4 linked regions of the Saccharomyces cerevisiae S288C genome follow. The gene in region 3 interacts genetically with the main gene of each other region. Each region holds a gene or a part of one and is shown on either strand. Other genes may lie near its edges. The genes, in order: CHD1, MAK21, AIR1 and CDC50.

Region 1 (6,769 bases), on a different chromosome or scaffold from region 3:
AGATATTAGGTGGTGGTACCAGGGCCTGCTCTATGCTTCAAACGGTTATTAAGTAAAAATGTTACTTCGTAGCTCACTGTCCTAAAAATACAAAATCAAAACTAAAGAATTTTACACAAGAAAGAAGAGATATAAAATACAAGATGACACTTTCTATTAAGTAAAACAGAAACCTCTTTCCTTGGAACTGGAGCGAAAGAGAACAATTGTCCCAGAACTTGCGATGGTGATGGCAAAAAGCGCAAAAAAAATTTTCTTTGTAAAAAGGAAAGAGAAAAAAAAAAAGAAATAATCTTCGATTAACAGTTTTCGTTAAACATGATTGATCTATCTGCTTTGTGGCTTCATACAGTATGACCTCTTATATGGTCATAGTAGTAACTAATTAAGCATTATTACTTTACGGTGCCCTATAGTACACACACTTACACGCAAATATATATACATAAATACGTTTATAGTTATGGGGGGAAGGAACAATGGAAAATGTGGTGAAGAAAAATTGTTTCACTTCTTTTGAGACTCTGTTATCTTGTCGTACATTGCCATCAGCTTTGTACTCTTAACGTCGGCAGGCCAAAAGTTGGCACTGTAAGACCAAAGGTGCTTGCGATATTTTTCTGGGCTTGCCTTTCTCGATGAGCCCTTTTGCGATTCGATATGATTACCAATCGTAGTTAATTCGGTCTTCAAAATTTTGGCCCATTCCTTACGATCAAGACTTTTGCCGCCTCTTCTAAGTCGCTTCAAAGAAGTACGTATTGCACTCATTGTGTGTCGACAGTCTTCTTCATCCATGCTGTCATATTCTTTTTCGTGAGCGCTGCCGCTACTGGGGTTGCTTGATTGCCTTGTACCATTATCTCTGGAAACCTTGGACTTTAATGGGGGCGTGGGGCTGTTTGGAGACAATCTCGTGTTATTTATTAAGGCGGCAGGACCTTTTGGGAGGGCTTTCATACGTTTGCTTGGCGGGCCATTTGCAGGCTCAGAACTTGTAATTTCTGGAGTCATGGATTTGCTGTGATTAGCAGGTTTTCTTTGTCTCTTTTTGGAAGGACCAGTAGGGAGTTTTTTCGAGCCTATGTCAGCACTGGGACTCTTTGTATTTAGGCCTCCTCTTAAGAAGGATAATAGATAATCAACTCTTCTGCCCAAGTGAATGGCACCAGGTACTTTTTTTGAAGAACCCGTTATTCCCTTTCCTTTCTTTGAGGGTGTTGGTGTTGTATCAGAGGAGCTTGCCGACTTTTTTGCTACCGGATTGTGAACTTCATTCAAGAATATTTTATCAGTAATGCCTAGAAATGGATCGTCTCTTATTTGTGTCCAGGAACCATATCCATATTTGAAAACACCAATCAATAGCTTCTCATCTTCCTCTTTCGTCCAATTAGATGACCAATTCTGTACAGGCTTAGGTGTGTTGTTGCCTAGGCTAAACTTTAATGGATCATCTTTGTAGTTTGAATTTATCAAGTTCTTCAAGTACTTTAAATCCTCCACTCTACTTAGTAAAGATTCGGCGTTTAAAGATTTAACACCTTTAAAGTTGAAAAGGACGGCTTTCTTTTCTCTTTTTTTTAAAGATAATCTAGTCAACGGATTATCCTTTGGTTGGTTCTCTGCTTTTATTTCACCGCTTTTTAGCTTTGCTCTATAGGCGGTAGCATGCTTCTCAAGTTTCTCCAAGATTTCTTTTCTATTTTTCTCTTCCTCGTGTACACAGTCTTTAGCTGCTTCCATCATTTCATCGTAAGTTTCACCGTATTTTTCAAATGATTTGACCGGCAGGGTTCCATCTGCAATCAACTCGTCCAAAATCTCCTTTAGGTTGCCAAATTTTAAAATAGCTTTATACAAAGCTCTCACCTCCGATTCACCAATAGAGTCCATGTCATTAGCTCTTGCTCTTCTTCTAGAAGATCTGGAAGTACTATCGTCGTCAGAATCTGAGTTTGCGGCGGTCCCATCACCATTAACACTGTTTTTTATTTTTTTTAGGGCGTTATCCCTTCTATTCATCATTTCAAGTTGTTCTTTAACATATTCTTCATCCTTGCGTTTCTGCTCTTCATCTTGGAGTTTTTTTAGTTCTTCTTCTGGAATGATATCATCCCAATCTATATCAGCTTTATAATCAGTCACTTCGAATTGCTTCAAAAACTCTTCACCGCCAAGATGCGACTCTCCTAAGTCTGGAGTAGTAACGTGATCCTCTGCATGATTCAAAACATCATCCAAGTTAAGATCCTCCAATTTTTTCTGGTTGTCTGTGGCAGTGAACATATTGCCTGCACCGAACTTCAGGATTGCCGATAATTCACCGGCATTTGGTTCATTCTTCTTAGTGTATTTGTTACCATCTGTCACTCCAAGAGAAATAATAGCATATTCCAGAATCATTTTCTTCCGTGCTCTTTCTAATACCTCTTCCTCTACTGTGTCTTTTGAAACCAACCTATACACCATAACGTGATTTTTTTGGCCAATACGATGAGCTCTAGCCATTGCTTGTAAATCGGCTTGCGGATTCCAATCGGAATCAAAAATCACAACGGTATCGGCGGTCATTAAGTTGATACCCAAACCACCAGCACGAGTAGAAAGTAAAAATACGAAGTCGTTTGAATCCGGAGAGTTGAAATGATCAATAGATATCCTTCTTTGAGCAGATGGTACTGTACCATCTAACCTTTGGAAGTTAATACCTTTAATGGATAAATAGTCGCCTAAAATGTCAAGCATTCTGACCATTTGTGAAAAAATCAACACGCGGTGCCCATCTTTCTTCAATCTGGTCAATAATTGGTCTAAAAGAACCATCTTACCCGAAGACATGATCAAACCTCTTAGTACGTTTTCTCGAGTCATTTTACCATCCCCAAATTTCTGTAAGACGCGCTCTTCAGCATTATCGAAGAGATATGGATGGTTCGATGCCTTTTTCAACTCGTTCATAATATTCAGTAAAGAGAAATGACCCCCTTTAGCTCCAGCAGTTAAAGCAGAGTAGTTTTTAGTCAGAATATTTTTATAGTACTCAGTCTGTACGTCGGACAATTCAACTCTTAAAATACGCTCTGTCTTTGATGGAAGTGATTTTTCTACGTCTTTCTTCAACCGACGAAGAATAAAAGGCTGTATTCTTCGGTGTAAATCATGAATATATTCTTCTTGCTCTTCATCTTGGTTTTCAAAATCAATCTCCTGATCAATCGTAAACCTTCCGGGCATTAGGAAATTAACCAACGCAGCTAACTCTTTAATATTATTCTGAAGAGGTGTGCCTGTGATTAACATACGGTTGGCGACCTTGAAACTGTTTAATGATTCATAAAGGGATGATTCAGCATTTTTTAGTCTATGAGCTTCGTCAACGGCCATAAATTGCCATTTTATACTTCCTAATTCAGCACGATCCTTTAAGATGTACTCGTATGTTGTTAATAAAACATTAAATTTCATTGTTTTTTTCCCTTTTGCCCTTGGATTGGTGTAAAATTCATATTCTCGAATGGTATCTCTTGATTTTTGGTTGCCCATATAGCATATACAATTCAAATCAGGCGCCCATTTCTCAAAAGTATCCAACCAGGCAGGCATTGTCGATAAAGGAACGACAATGATGTGAGGTCCGTTTTGTCTACGAGCAAATATCAGCCAACTGATAAAGGCGACAGTCTGGACCGTTTTTCCCAGGCCCATCTCATCTGCCAGTATACCATTATCACCTTTGGACCACAAAAATGCCATCCAATTAATACCAGTTAGTTGAAAATCTCTTAATTCCCCACCTTTAATGAACGGAGGTTGCACGCTTAACTTCTCAAAACGCGGTCTCTGTGAAGTATAATTACTGGAATATTGTGGGAGGATCTTAGAGTTTTCTCTGTTTTGAAAATGTTTCACTTGTTCAGGTGCCAATTTCACGATATCTGTGGCATTCTCCCAAGTAGCCTCGTCGTAATTTAGACGACGCCATTTAACTAAATACTGTAATTGTGAGGTGCCGTCTTCCAACGAAGCACGTTGGCTATCAATAATCCTTTCTGGCACGTGGAACTCCTCAAATTCATCAAGCCTACGTTCACGTTCCATGTCCATGATCTCTATATCTTCGGCGGTAACGTATGGATCTAATCTTACTTGTTGATCTTCGATGATGAATTGCTTACAATAGTTGTCCAACCTCTTCAATCCACGGACTTGGCCAATGGATTCATAAGTTTCCCAGGTATTGTGGAGATGAGATTCATCTGTCCATTTGATTAAGAATTCATAATTTTCCTTGCAGTTATTGAGGTCAGGAACAGTCTTTTCCAAGACCTTTCCTTCTTCCAAAGATGTCTTTAGTCTGTGATTGATAACAATATCAATACCGTGGAAGTCCTCTGGTTGAGGATTGGCAGATGCTTCATGCACATTTTCCTCTGATAAAGCCTCCTCGGAACCATAGTCATCTTCAGATTCTAAGAGGTCATCATCGCTATAATCGATGTTATAATTTACCGTTTTGTTTTGACGATTAGAAAACCTTGTTGGTATTTTCACTGTAGATTGCTTTTCAGATTGAGATTTTGGCTTAGATTTAGACTTTGATTTTGTTCTTGATTTCGGTTTTGATCGATTTTGTTTTATAGGAGAGCCATAATAATCATCATCTTCTTCAAAATCTTCCTCATCTTCGTCCTCTCCAGAATCTTCTTCGCCTTCTTCATCTTCAAATTCGTCTTCGTCGTCTTCAATCGTGGTCATTCTCTTCCTCCTCGACTGTTTAATATTATCTTCATCGTCCTCATCATCGCTATCGTTGAAGTAGTTTTGTTGATGCGCAGCAGCTCTATGTGACCGCCTCAGCCCATATAGTTCAGGATTTTGCAGCACTTCAGTAGAAATATCCTTGGCTGCCATTATAAGTGAGAATTAAATTAGAAAAGGTTCTGCTTTGAATTGGGTATAGGTTTAAAGAAATAACGGAAAAGTCTTGAAGCAAATGAAAAATAAAAACCTTTGAGAAACTTTGTCGTTAGTGAATAGGTAAGCTAGTGGAACTCAAGTACGAATTAAAGAAAATGATGGTCGATGTTTAGGCTTATTCAATTTTCTCCTTTGGAAGAAACAAGTATGTGTATATTCACAAAAGAAGTAACGGAAAAGAGAAGGTGACTTCTGCAAGCTTGCTTATCTTGACTTGATAACCCCAAACTTTTATCAACTTGACTTAGATGTCCGGACAAGAATACGATAGTACTAACCAGATATAATGAGGACAAGATTCTTCTACACAATGTTTCTCGTGGTACAGTTTCGAAATTGAAAAGAAGGAAAGGAAAAAAAGTAAAATTATATAACGAGAGGGTAACAGTATGATAATCGACTACTGAACTATGATCTGTTCGACAAGTGTTGCATATTACATGTCTTTAATGGTATCAATAATTGACATAATCTTATATCAGTAATGATATCAGGAAAGAACTTTGTAATGTTTGGGAACATATGTCCTAGTGTAGGGATGGGATGTGATAAGGATCGTGGGATGTTAAATTTATTCTCTTAGATGAAATTGCCTACACCTTCTGGACGGTTGATAATTAAGTTTTCAACTTTAGCGTGTTTCATTTTCAAAATATTGAAGAAGTGGCCTACCAGTGATATCCAACCGATGCGCGAGCAACACGCAAGCCCTTGGCTTGTGAGCAGCGTTTAGCTGACCGTATTACGCATTGATGGGCTGAGGAAAACATACAGGCAATCATGTCTTTTGATTTTGGCAACGTATGATCTTTTACCGTATATGGGGCAGTAACATATCATCGAAGTAAAAGCTAAAACAAAGAAAGTTAAAAAAAATAAACGTACAACATAGAAGCTTACCTTTCAAGGATATCTCAAAAGTATCAAATATATCACGGTGACTTCGGCCTGCGAAAGAAGATTTTCCTCGAACGGTGAAATACTGAGATGATCCATAAAGTAATGAGAGTGTTCTCGCTTGTATGGTTCGCTGACCTATGCCACCCGTGTTTCTCCATTGCGCAGAGGCTTCCATATTGACCACTACGTAGTGGCAACTTAAAACAATCAAAAATCGTTTTCTTCCTTAGGACTTGACTGCTTCGTCTTAAGATTATTGCCAGAAATTGAAGACAGAAAACATCAGTGAGAGGGGAGGGAGAGAGTGTCGCAACGTATGACCTCTTTTAAAGGCGTATGTCAACCAGCGGTTATCAATAGTTCCCTTGTGTTAAGGGAAGCTTGGAAGTTGTCACCAACACCTAGCAGACTTTTCTTCGACGTCCTCCCTAGTGGTTTATATGAAGAGAATGAGAAAATTTGCCACTCCAGTAATTTTTCCTTTTTTTTTTTTTTGGATTCGCCAAGGAGCGGGATAATTGGTATTCTGGGTAACGCTAAAAGGTAAGGTCAATATTAGCTATGAGTTTAGTCTCGAGGTGATTTAACCTTGGAAGAAGCAATCACGACGTTGGTTTGGGCTTATAAAAAGTTGTATGGCCAAATGACTAATGACAACAGTGGTATCTGGGTCCTAGGCTACGGATCTCTGATTTACAAGCCTCCGTCTCATTACACGCATAGAATACCGGCAATAATTCACGGTTTTGCTCGTCGGTTCTGGCAAAGTTCCACTGATCATAGGGGTACACCTGCAAACCCAGGAAGAGTGGCCACACTAATCCCGTATGAGGATATTATAAGGCAAACTGCCTTCTTGAAGAATGTGAATTTGTATAGTGAAAGTGCA
Region 2 (5,509 bases), on a different chromosome or scaffold from region 3:
GGTAAACAGGTGGACTGTTGCTAGCCAGTGATGACTTGAAGAGCGCATTCGTTATTCGTACAACGAACTTATTGGTACTCATAATTAAAAAATCTTTCACAGAATATTAATCAAGTATTCACAAATTTGTTTTGCTTACTGCAATTAGCTAACAGAAAATTGTCGCTACAAATGTGCCTATATAAACAAAATGGTTAAAAATGAGTTCTGGATTATTTATTTCTAATAGGAGTCACGTGGTTCCATCGTTTTTAGTTTCGTCTCACGATGTCAGCAATCTCGGCGATTTCAACTGACATAGTTGTAGCTAAAATCCGTTTCTATTTCCGCATTACTCTTTTTCCGTTTACTCCCGCTCTAATAATGTTGAAAAGCGGACATAAGTAGAGTTATCAGCAAAACTCTGATATGCGTCTTTCGCTTCAAGGTTTCGTATTGGACCGTTTTTTATTGTACAAAATTCTGTTTTCCTTATTTAATTTACAACACCGAAGTGTTTAGTTAATGTATTATTATTTTCTAGTCTGAATCTTGATCTAAATATTGAGCATAATCGTCGGCAGATGCAAATACCGGTAGACTTTTGAGCATATTCTTTCTCTGCTTCTTCTTTGCTCTTTTTGCGGATACCTCTTTATTTTCTTCTTCTTCTTTTTCTTCTTCGCTGCTCTCGTCCTCTTCACTACTTTCAGCGAAGGAACGTTTTTTATCACTATTGTCTTGTTCTCCATCGAAACTGTAAAAAATATCCTCATCGAGGCCTTCTTCTTGATCGCTTTCTTGGCTGCCTTCACTTTTAGCATCTTCATCATCAATTGCGTCCAGCTTAGGTTCATCGTCACTAGTTGAATCGCTGAAATCATCTTCAGCGAAGTCAAGTTCACTGTCGTCGCTATCATCTTCAACATCTGGTCTCGATTTAACCAAAGCACTCCAAATTTCATTTTCATCCATTTCGTCATCACTATCGAAATTAGATGCTTTGTTAGATTTCTTTCCTTTTCCATCAGCGGTTTTCTTGGTAGTGAAATATTGATAAAAGAATTTATCTTCAGGTTTGATATCTTCAACTTTTTTAGTTAGCCAGTCTTCAGTGTTCACGGGACCCTGGTCATGCATAATATCAGATGCCTTAACTAAGACAGAGTCATTAACTCGTGAGCCACTAAACAGAGGTTGCATAATAGATGTACCTCTTGCTGTATTGGTCTGCTTGGCACTTCTGTAGACAAATCTGTCAAGGAAGTGTGATAGAGTAAATAGACCCAGGTCTGGTTTAGCTATTTGCTCTGTTTCTCCTGTCACATAGGCGTTTGCATATGTTTTCACAGTAGGATGAAAATGATTGATGAAGTTGTTGATTTCCCATAAAGAAGATTTTTCAGCATTGGCGAACTTTGGATCACGCTTGCGGCCGTCGTATTCCTTCCTTTTTATGTCCTTGTCCCCTTGCTCCTCTTCTGCATCAGATTCATACTCGTAATCAACTGGCGTGTTGGTTAGAAGATTTTTTATTTGTGGAACTGTTTTAGCCAACTGGATTAATAAGAAGAAAAAACCAGTAATGGTGCCGACGTTCAACCAATGAGAACAAACTTGAAGAATTCTCTTGACAAAGGCTTCTACTCGTTCAACGTTGAGTGCATCTTGTTTTAATGATTTGTATAGTAAATTCAAGTAAATACCCTGCTTAGAAGAGTTCACCAGTCTGGGGTCAAATAAACTTTCGTATAATGTTCTATAATATCGATCACTGTTCAACTTTGCTTTGACGGTGACTTGATTAATCAAAACTAATGCTTGGATTGAGGTGTTAAAGTTAGAGGAGTGTGTGATTTTGAAAAGAGTTTCCATATGTACTTCATAGACAGACGCTGGAATCTGAGCGAATGGGAATGCACGATTGATACCTGTTAACAAAGCACTGAATAATTTTGAGTTCTTTTCATCTAAAACTTCATTTTCCGTTTTTTCGATTTTTACAGATTTACCACCGTGTTTACCCTTTTTAAAGTTCTTCTTTCTTTTCTCCTCATACGACTTTGAGTTACTCTTAACAACGCCATTGGTATTGTCTTTATCAGTATTAATCAAGAATTTTTCAAACAAAGTGAAGTATGTTTTTACTAATTTATTAGCAACAGAGTCTTCTGATCTTTTTAAGATGGTTTGGTTTAAAGTAATAACAGAATAGTAAGTGGTATGATAATCCGCATTCGGTCTCAATGCGATATCAACGATAGCATCAATGACAATAGATTTCATATTCGGATGAGCTTGTTCCAACTTCAGTAGTAAATATGACGCCTTCGAAGAAACTTTGGAATCAATATCACCAATTTTATTTACACCTAATCTCAATAAATTAAATTCCTGCTCTGGTTGGTTGGTCAATAAATCAAATACATGATTTAATATTTGTAATCTAACGTGAATAATTGGATCGTGGGAAAGCACTTCCAAGACTTCTAAAACACGAAAGAACAGTTTCTTTAAATAATCTTCGAAATAGAAAATTGCAAGAGTTTTCTTGTTTAGCATCATAGATAAGCCAGGTTGATTTTTGAAATACCTCAGCTTTCTGTTGGGCAAAAGACCATTTAAGAATAAATCCTTCAAAGCGTTTAAACTCTGTAAAGCAGAGTTTCTCGATTTTTTGCCACAATATGAAACCAGAGTTTCTAAAGACTTAGTGTTATGCAATGGCGAATCTTGAATGAGTAAAGTTACGGCAGATATTTTATCGTTGAGGGTACCGTCCGATAGGATTTGGGACATGAACTTGGCCTGCGATGAGTCCTTTGTAAACTCCTCATAGTAAGTTTGGTTGTCAGCTTCTAGCGTTTGCTTACCTCTTTCAAAAAGTTTCTCAATCTGTTCCTTGGATAATTCTTCAACATCATCATTTTGTCCAACTTGAGGATCCAATGGAATTTCATACCATGGTTTATCGTAAGGAATAATAAGTTTGTCAGATGAGATAATAGTAGTTTGAGTAATTAAACCTCCATCTTTCTCCTCTTTCTTTTCTTTCTCTGCAGATTCTGATTCTGGCTCTTGGTCTGAACTAAGATTAGCCTCTTCTACTGTGTTTTCTTCTTGTTCACTGCCATTATCGATTGACTCTTGGGAGGTTTTCTCTATTGTCGATGATGCAATGTTTGATTGTGCATGTTCCTTCTCTTGAGCGGGTATTTTAGATTCTTTGGAGCTAGTGGATTCTTCTTCTATATCGTCATCGTCTACATCTTCGAGTTTGTGTTGGTCAAATCCTACATTCTTCATGAAATTTTGAAGATCGTTCTTGAATCCCTTGTCGTCAGCATCCTCGTCAGCGACGGCATCAAATTCCTGTTCGCTCTTAGCGTCATCATCATCGCTTAATCCTTGAATCAATTTTAGATCTTCTTCGCTGGCACCCAATGCTAGTGCTTCACGACGTATGTCCTCATTTACCTTCTTTGAATTACTACTGGCCTTCACGTCCTTGCCTTTGTGGGTTTTCTTCGCCTTTTTGCTGTTATTGTCTCGCAATTTTGACGAAATCTTATTTCTTAGTGAAGACAAATCCAGCGGATTGCCGTTGTTCTCACTCATTATTTTTGATTACTGTACCAACAAAGACACTGGAGAGGTTTAATATCTATAGAAATTTATCAAACTATAGAATTTCGCTTCCGATGTGTACGACATAATGCTTTCTTATTCGCAACTCCATTACTTTGGCATCTCTGATAATTTTTTACCTCATCGCCAAAAGAAAAAATTTTTCATTCTGCAACGGGTAACGGAATACAGAGGCAAGAGAACGGAAGAACATCATATCGGCGGTTATTACTAAACAGTATATGTCCAATCGGTTTTGGAAATGAGATTTTCTTATTAATGATCTGATCTTAGATTATGTTGGGCAATACGCGTTATACAAAAGATCTGCTATTGCATGTGGTGAAAGTTATACCAACATTTTTGCTTATATGAAATCATCTGCAACAACCAATTGGATAAGGATAGATTTCTCAAATATATTAAATTATGTCTTGGTTTACTTACACAGAAAGTCCCAAAGTACAGATGAATTATACTAGGGTTGTGTTCATTGTTCCATGAGAGGCTGTACTTTTTGCCTACTTATTTTGGTACTCATTCATTAGGCTCATAAACCGATTTTTCTTATATTGTGCGTAATTCAATTAGATATCTAGATGTATTGCTAGTGCTAGTACGGTGTAAACTCTCGTAGCAAGCGCTTTTGAAGCATGGCTGTGGTGGAGGTAGTTGCCACTGCGAGCGGGTAATAAAGCGGCTGCCGCCTTACTCATTTGTACCAAAGATAGCCGACCCAAAATTATAAAAAATAATTGTATCCCGGATTTTAATAGATGGTTGGAGTTTTATTTTCCAAGGTCAGGACTGCTTATTGACTACCATCTTGAAAAGTCATTTTCTGCTCACCACCCTCAACTAAACTAAAAATGTCTTCCTCCAAGCGTATTGCCAAGGAATTAAGTGATTTAGGGAGGTATGTTAAAAATAAAATGAATGATTTTTCTTGATCTGTAAAGAAAAAGGATTACTAACATGAGTTTCTTTTTTGAACTTTTTTCCGAAGAGATCCTCCTGCTTCATGTTCAGCAGGACCTGTAGGGGATGACCTGTATCATTGGCAAGCCTCTATTATGGGTCCTTCAGACTCACCCTACGCTGGTGGCGTTTTCTTTTTGTCTATTCACTTTCCAACTGATTATCCATTCAAGCCACCGAAGGTAAACTTTACGACCAAAATTTATCATCCGAATATTAATTCGAGTGGTAATATCTGCCTTGATATTTTAAAGGACCAGTGGTCACCGGCGCTAACCCTTTCAAAAGTTTTGTTGTCTATTTGCTCTCTTTTAACAGATGCTAATCCCGACGATCCTTTGGTCCCTGAAATTGCTCAAATCTACAAGACAGATAAGGCTAAGTATGAAGCCACCGCTAAGGAGTGGACTAAAAAATATGCTGTTTGATTAATTTGGGCTAACGGATAAATTGTGTAGACTTACCTTCCTCAGCGCACACATCAATATATTATATATTCTTTACGTATACAAACACGCAAATTCTTATAGGTATAGCGATATTAGTTTGATCAATTCCCATCACGTACCTTGCTTTCTATTATTTACTCTTTCTCCTGTACCTGCTACTATCAATTAAAAAAAATTCTCCGCGACGGGGAATTGAACCCCGATCTGGCACGCGACAAGCGCCCATTCTGACCATTAAACTATCACGGAAGAAACAAAGCACTCACGATGGGGGTCGAACCCATAATCTTCTGATTAGAAGTCAGACGCGTTGCCATTACGCCACGCGAGCTACTATTTGTCGGAAAAACATTCTGATTCATCTAGCTAAATGATTGTTTAAAATATGCTAAATTTCTCACCAACCTTTTCTCATAATGAGCCTAATATGAACCGCTATTGAAAATATGTACAAGGAAGAATATAGAGAATAAAGC
Region 3 (3,374 bases):
TTTAGACCGAAAGTTTCCTTCTCTACTTCGAAAGTAAACATGTTTTCCTTGTAATTGGCCCAGTGACCTGAGGTTTCCCACAATTTGGAGTTGTACATGTTTGGAGTGATGACTTCTTCGTAACCTCTCTTACGGTATTCGGTTCTCAACAAGTCAACCAAAGTGTTGTAAATTCTAGTACCATGAGGTAACCAAAAGCAAGAACCTGGGGACATTTCATTGAATAAGAATAATTCTTGTTCTTTACCAATCTTTCTGTGATCTCTCATAGAGGCTTCCGCCAAGAACTTCAAATGAGCATCCATTAATTTTTTGTCTGGAAAAGAGATACCGTAAACTCTTTGTAAAGAGTCGTTTGTCGCATCACCTAAGAAATAACAAGAAGAGTTCTTTAATAGTTTGAAAGCTTTGATACGCCCAGTATGTGGGATATGAGGGCCGACACATAGATCAATCAATTTACCGCAACGGTAGACGGTAGTAGCACCTCCATCTGGAACCTTTGTCTGTACCAAGTAAGTCTTATACTTCGAATAATGAAACATTTTCAAAAGATCTTCTTTGGACATGACCAATCTTTCAAATTTTTGCTTTTGCTTGATAACATTCTTGGCAACGCCTTCCAATCCTGGGAAATCAGCTTGGGAGACGGTTCTTTCTGGAGATTCAGATATATCTTTCATACTATCTCTAACAGCCATTTCATAAAAGAACCCATCATCAGTTGGAGGACCTAAACAAATATGGGCACCTAGGTGGCACTCACAAGATTCACCCAAGACGTGGGCAGACGAATGCCAAAAGACCTTCTTACCTTCGTCAGATTCGAAATCTAGCAGTTCTAATTTGATTTCTTCGTTGGCTTCGCCTTCAAATGGTCTATCTAAGTCCCATAATTGACCATTAACCTTAGAAATACATAACCTGTCTGCTAAAGATTTAGAAATTCCTTTGGCAATATCCATCGGAGTGGTTTCCCAAGAAGTGGCTTCCTTAACGGCTCCATCCTTCAAGACAATCTTCAATGGAACACGTGGCATAGAAGCAACTTTATCATTGTATTCCTTTTGTAATCTGTCAAACATTTCAATTCTTTCCTCGATGAAAGTTGGTTCAGGATCCAAGTACAAGGACTGTTGCTTGGATTTTTTGTTTTCTTTCTTATTTGGTTTTACGGCATCATTACTACTATCCTTGACAGACAGCTTTTTGACTTGCTCAGTGACACCTGCTTCACTAGCACTCATCTCCGTTTTATTTTCTTGCTCTGTTAGCTGTTAATTTTTCGTTAACCTGTAATCTTTCAGATGACACATCATTTAATGCACGATTTATCTAACTTTCTTTTGTTGCCATCGCAAGTATTTTTTTCAAGTGAAAATTCCTCGAAAAAAATTTTTTAGCAAGATAGCCGTATATGATGATTTATACATATCACAAGGTAAGAGTCATTTAAACAGTAAAAAGAAAGCGTTTGCGTCAGCATATACAATGGCACATCTGTAAATTCATTTATATATTATATGAAAATGTGACTTCAATATTTCTAAAGTGACTTCCATAGGCGCTTGTCCTTTGTCTTTGTTTCTTGCTACTGTTAAAGCTCATTGACAGGCTTTTCAATTTCTTGGTCCATGAAAAAATGAAAAATTACTAAAAATTAGCGATGCGATGAGTGGGAAAGGTCCAACATTCTCACATGAGGAATACAAAGGAAGCGGACCACGGAGCTAAGATATTATGTCGACATTGTTATCTGAGGTAGAAAGTATCGATACTTTGCCGTATGTGAAGGATACAACACCGACAGGAAGTGACTCGTCATCATTTAATAAATTATTGGCTCCTTCCATAGAGGATGTAGATGCTAACCCAGAGGAACTGAGGACTTTACGTGGCCAAGGACGGTATTTTGGAATAACAGATTATGACTCAAACGGTGCGATAATGGAGGCAGAGCCAAAGTGTAATAATTGTTCGCAAAGAGGTCATTTGAAAAGGAATTGTCCCCATGTGATATGTACTTACTGCGGGTTTATGGATGATCATTACTCACAACACTGCCCTAAGGCTATTATTTGCACTAATTGTAATGCAAACGGCCATTATAAATCACAGTGTCCTCATAAATGGAAGAAGGTGTTCTGCACGCTTTGCAATAGCAAAAGACACTCAAGAGAAAGATGTCCTAGTATTTGGAGATCTTATTTATTAAAAACAAAAGATGCTAACCAAGGTGACTTCGATTTTCAAACAGTTTTCTGTTATAACTGTGGGAATGCCGGTCATTTTGGCGATGACTGTGCTGAAAGAAGGTCATCGAGAGTGCCGAACACTGATGGAAGTGCATTTTGCGGTGATAACTTAGCCACAAAATTTAAACAACACTATTTTAACCAATTGAAAGACTATAAACGTGAAGCTTCACAAAGGCAACACTTTGATAACGAACATGAATTCAACCTGCTTGACTATGAATATAACGACGATGCATACGACCTCCCTGGCTCAAGGACTTATAGAGATAAAATGAAATGGAAGGGCAAAGTGCAGTCAACAAGGAACAAAAATAGTAGCAATAATAGATATGAAAGCAGTAATAACAGGAAGAAGAAGTCACCATTTAGCGCACAGAACTACAAAGTGACGAAAAATAAAAGAGTTCAGACACACCCCTTAGATTTCCCCAGAAGTAGCCAAAACAACAGAACGAACGATTATTCGAGCCAGTTCAGCTATAATAGGGACGACTTCCCCAAGGGTCCTAAGAATAAGAGGGGCCGATCATCTTCTAACAAAAGCCAAAGAAATGGCCGTTATTGAGATTATATGTGAGTTTTTTTAATTTTTTTTCCATTCTCATTGCAGCAAACATATATATGTTTATTTTATAGGGATTTTTTGTATCGATAGAGCAGTACAAAGCAAAAAAAAAGTACATTGTTGGAGTCTCGTATTTCTTACTTACTGTCTTAGCAGTAGTAGAAGAGATTTGTACAAAAAAATATGGTCTCTAGCGGGATCGAACCGCTGATCCCCGCGTTATTAGCACGGTGCCTTAACCAACTGGGCCAAGAGACCAGATATTTCATATGTTCTGTTGTATTACGGGCTCGAGTAATACCGGAGTGTCTTGACAATCCTAATATAAACAGTCTTAGGGAAGTAACCAGTTGTCAAAACAGTTTATCAGATTAATTCACGGAATGTTACTTATCTTATATATTATATAAAATATGAATCATACTAAGTGGTGGAAGCGCGGAATCTCGGATCTAAACTAATTGTTCAGGCATTTATACTTTGGGTAGTTCAGCTAGGGAAGGTCGGGTTTTGTCTCATGTTGTTCGTTTTGTTATAAGGTTGTTTCATAT
Region 4 (3,695 bases), on a different chromosome or scaffold from region 3:
GCCTCAGCGGCTTTTGACATTAATAAATCAAATCGAAACCAAAGTGAAAAATAATAAAGTATTACAAGTAAGTGGAGTTCTAGGAGACGATTTGAAGAAAACCTCTTCTGACCTAGGAATTTTTGGCCATAGGTATAGATTAGCATTTAATAAAAAAGAAAATGGAGATTATGGCTATTATAAAGCAAGGGGAAAAGATAACGTCAAAATAAGGATACCCTGTGATTCTGAATTACCAGATTGGTTCAGGTTTCAACGAGATTTGTGGGAAAAAGAAAACGTTCCGGAAGAGCATCACTTTTATAGGGAACATATTTTTACATAGTTTACATTTTTACGTATATGTATAGATGATTTCATGATAAACGTTTTCCACTTTTCTATCATTTCATCATCTAAATGGGAATAGCAAACCCTGGGAGTTCTTTGTCGCACTATTTTCCAAGCGTAAAAAGGCATACTTCAATTTTTCTTTTGTTTACGTTTCAGGAAGTCAACAAAACTTGTTTACTTATAAACACAAATACCTACAGGCACTAAAGTTTGTTTTTTGGCCTCTATAAAATTTCCCTCAATGTTGTATTCTCTGCGTGTACATCCTCATAATCCTCGTTTTCTTCATCATCAAAATTCAAATAAGTGTGATCACCCATCGCTCTTGGTTGGAAGATTAATTTAACCAAAAAAATGATGCCAAATAAGGCGCAAAGCCCTGCAACGATGAGGTACAGTACGCCTAGTGACATATTTCTACCACCAATAGCTCCATTTGTAGTCAGTACAAATGATTTTGTGCCACCAAAGAGTGAAATCGGATAATTCAACTCAATGTTCATTTGATATTTACCCTTCGGTAAAGAAGCAGATTCATTTTTCAACGTCAACTTGTAAAACTTGGGAAAGGCTGCAGTCCTCATCCATACCTGGAACTCTTCCCAAGTATGGATATCAGGAAGATTTTCATCTGTATACCCATCGGGATACTTCTTCATCCAGTTTGGCGGTGGAACAATATCGCTAGCATTATACTTGGTGGTTTTAAATCTGTGACGATCAATACTCCATGATATATGCTTGTTAGTTAAATTATAGTCTTCTGTGTCATCTATACCACTCAACACCTGAGAAAATGTATCATTAAACATGGAATTAGCGATCAACCCACAGGGATATATTATTTTGTCTTCCCTACTTCTTATTGGACTACAGCTTGTATCCAGATCATCTTTTTTGATAGGCTCCCCTAATATTTGCTTTGTGTCAAACGATTGGACATATCTGCGATGATTTTGATAAAAATTGGTTATTTTATAATATATAAAAATGGATTTCTTGATATCGTTTGGGATTTCGAACTGCAGTTCGCATGATTGTTCGCCATTTTCATTTTCGGTTAGCCTCCATTGTGGTTTATTTTCAACTTTACTTTTAAAGTGATATTTAATGTACTTCTTTGGTATATCTTCAAAAGCAGTTGTAGATGCTTTTGTATCACAATGACTATAATCAATTGTTAGATCTTGTACCTTAGTAGCGCTTACAATGAGTCCAATACCAATAGGAGTAAATATACATGCAACGAATATTAACAACGGAAGCACACTTTGAGGAGACAGTATTGGTTGCCATGCCTTAAGCCTTTGTTGTCTAAACGCTGTGTTAGGAGGCTTTTTAGAAGTGGGGCCTTCTTTCGTGAGCGGTGGAGCCTTACCTCTTTTGAACAATGAAACCATATACAAGCTGTTCTATAGAACTTCAAGTTCGATTACTCAATTATTCTTTGTTCGCAGTGCGTCATGGACATAAGGTAATTGCAGCTCTTGTTTGATATAAATTGATGCTCATTATTATTATTATTCTCCAAAACAATAATACGGGTAACACTAATTTTCAGTAGTTCAAAAGTGAAAGCGACCCATATACAGTAAGAAAAGTTAATCGAAATTGCTTCTATTCTTATTCAAAATAGTATTCTCTGAAATATAGTATTATACAAGTTATATTTTTTTTTCTGAAATCATGATTTTCGTATATAAATAAATGCAGTTTTTTTATGCGTTGGATTGTAGAGGGGTTTGCCTTCTATTGATGGTGGCGGATTGGTCATCTTGTTCACTGGTTGTGTATTTTTTGGAATATTTTACTAATTGTTGTAAAATTAGTTTAATTTCGGGAACACTTTGTACAAAGGGCAGGTCTAAAAGATTAATATCGTTATTGTTTATCAACTGAGTAAAGAAAACTGAAACACCCCAGGTATGTGGTTTGTTAACAATAATTCTTTTTAAAAAGTTTCTTAAAATAATTTCTTGGACTTCAAGTTTTTGATCATTCCATTCGTCACTTTTGAACATATTCATTAACACAAAGCTGAACCAATAGGTGTGGATGTTTGGATACCGCAATTGTTCCACAATAGACAGAATAATTTGATATTTCATTTCGATGCTACCATTTTGAATCAGATTGAACAATAAAGTATAATAAGAAGACTTCGTATTAAATACCGCATTTGAAGAAGTTCTCTTATACTCTATTCCAGCTTCAATGCCCACATGTAATACAATAGCGCGAATTAATTTACTATCAACAGATAAAAAGTCGTAGCCTACGCCCTTTTTTATGTCATAGGTATCCTTGTAAATAGCGCTTAGTATTGTTCTTAATAATGAATTTGAGGGAATACGTAGGTAGTTGTCAACTGGCTTTTTCAATGAGTGTAAATCAATTACAGGATCAAAGAAGACTTCAGGTAGTTCTTTACATGCTGGAATATCCTCCATATTAAGATCCACGTCATATGGGTTGGGAACGGTCATATTCTTAGGAATAGCAGATAAAATAACATTCTTTAGTTGGAAATATGTTGGAGGTAGATTGTTCATTAATTCATAGTGATTTTCAATCAAAAAGGATGGCATATCATTCGAAATGCCTAAAATAACACGCAGTGTTCCCTTATAAACAACCGAAACAGCGTCAGAGACTGCATGTTTACTTGTGTATTGGTCCAAAAATTTAAACAAATCGATAATCAAAAGCATTAACTTTTCCCAACCTATTTTATTGGGTAATCTTAGCATAATTGGTAATAACATTCTGTGTGATAATAGTGTCACCCATGCAAATGAGAATCCAGGGAAGGCAAATGGTTGCAGAGCGTGCAAATATCCTGAGAAAGTGTTGTAAAATACAGAATCAAATTCGATCAGCTCCTGCCTAGTGCTGGAATCAGATATTCTAACAAAATTGTGCGTCCTGATGGTAGCCCATTCGTATAAGATGTTAGAAAATAGTCTGAAATATGGTCGTTCATTGAATGTGGTACCCTCTTGGCTATGATCCTTAGCAAACACTAAAACGATCACAGAAAATATTGCATTTATGTAATCTCTTCTTGTATCATCTTTGAAACCCTGTAAAATCAACAATTTTATAATTAGCGATCCTAGAGCATCAATAGCGATGAAAACCTCATCAGTCGGGTCACTTTCTTTGAATGAAGAAACTGATAGCTCAAGAGAACTTTTGACAAATGTAAGTAAATTATCAGTATCGCTGATAACACCCTTTTCGACTAATTGCTTGATAAAAACAGTTGTGATTACGTCGTTATTCTCAACTCTTTGAAGTAATTTTACCCATTCCGTAAATACTAAGTAAAGCTTTTCTGTTCTTGTGGTTTTGGTACCTTT

The links.
Region 1: mutations in AIR1 (region 3) and CHD1 are lethal when combined (synthetic lethality), as found in Saccharomyces cerevisiae (3 studies listed by BioGRID, with this or other methods).
Region 2: mutations in AIR1 (region 3) and MAK21 together harm fitness more than expected from each alone (negative genetic interaction), as found in Saccharomyces cerevisiae (3 studies listed by BioGRID).
Region 4: mutations in AIR1 (region 3) and CDC50 together harm fitness less than expected from each alone (positive genetic interaction), as found in Saccharomyces cerevisiae (2 studies listed by BioGRID).

Annotation. Positions count from the first base shown.
Region 1 is NC_001137.3:503,537-510,305, reverse strand, and holds CHD1 (chromatin-remodeling ATPase CHD1), read right to left. Parts: upstream 4,915-6,769; coding exon 508-4,914; downstream 1-507. Other genes in the region: GCG1 (gamma-glutamylcyclotransferase), read left to right, coding at 6,524-6,769. UniProt on the Saccharomyces cerevisiae protein: ATP-dependent chromatin-remodeling factor which functions as substrate recognition component of the transcription regulatory histone acetylation (HAT) complexes SAGA and SLIK. It recognizes H3K4me.
Region 2 is NC_001136.10:568,737-574,245, reverse strand, and holds MAK21 (RNA-binding ribosome biosynthesis protein MAK21), read right to left. Parts: upstream 3,598-5,509; coding exon 520-3,597; downstream 1-519. Other genes in the region: YDR061W (uncharacterized protein), read right to left, coding at 1-82; E2 ubiquitin-conjugating protein UBC5, read left to right, coding at 4,476-4,522, 4,613-5,012.
Region 3 is NC_001141.2:210,372-213,745, reverse strand, and holds AIR1 (TRAMP complex RNA-binding subunit), read left to right. Parts: upstream 1-1,740; coding exon 1,741-2,823; downstream 2,824-3,374. Other genes in the region: threonine--tRNA ligase THS1, read right to left, coding at 1-1,247. UniProt on the Saccharomyces cerevisiae protein: Component of the TRAMP (TRF4) and TRAMP5 complexes which have a poly(A) RNA polymerase activity and are involved in a post-transcriptional quality control mechanism limiting inappropriate expression of genetic information.
Region 4 is NC_001135.5:284,800-288,494, reverse strand, and holds CDC50 (aminophospholipid translocase regulatory protein CDC50), read right to left. Parts: upstream 1,734-3,695; coding exon 558-1,733; downstream 1-557. Other genes in the region: OCA4 (Oca4p), read left to right, coding at 1-325; CCR4-NOT core subunit CDC39, read right to left, coding at 2,052-3,695.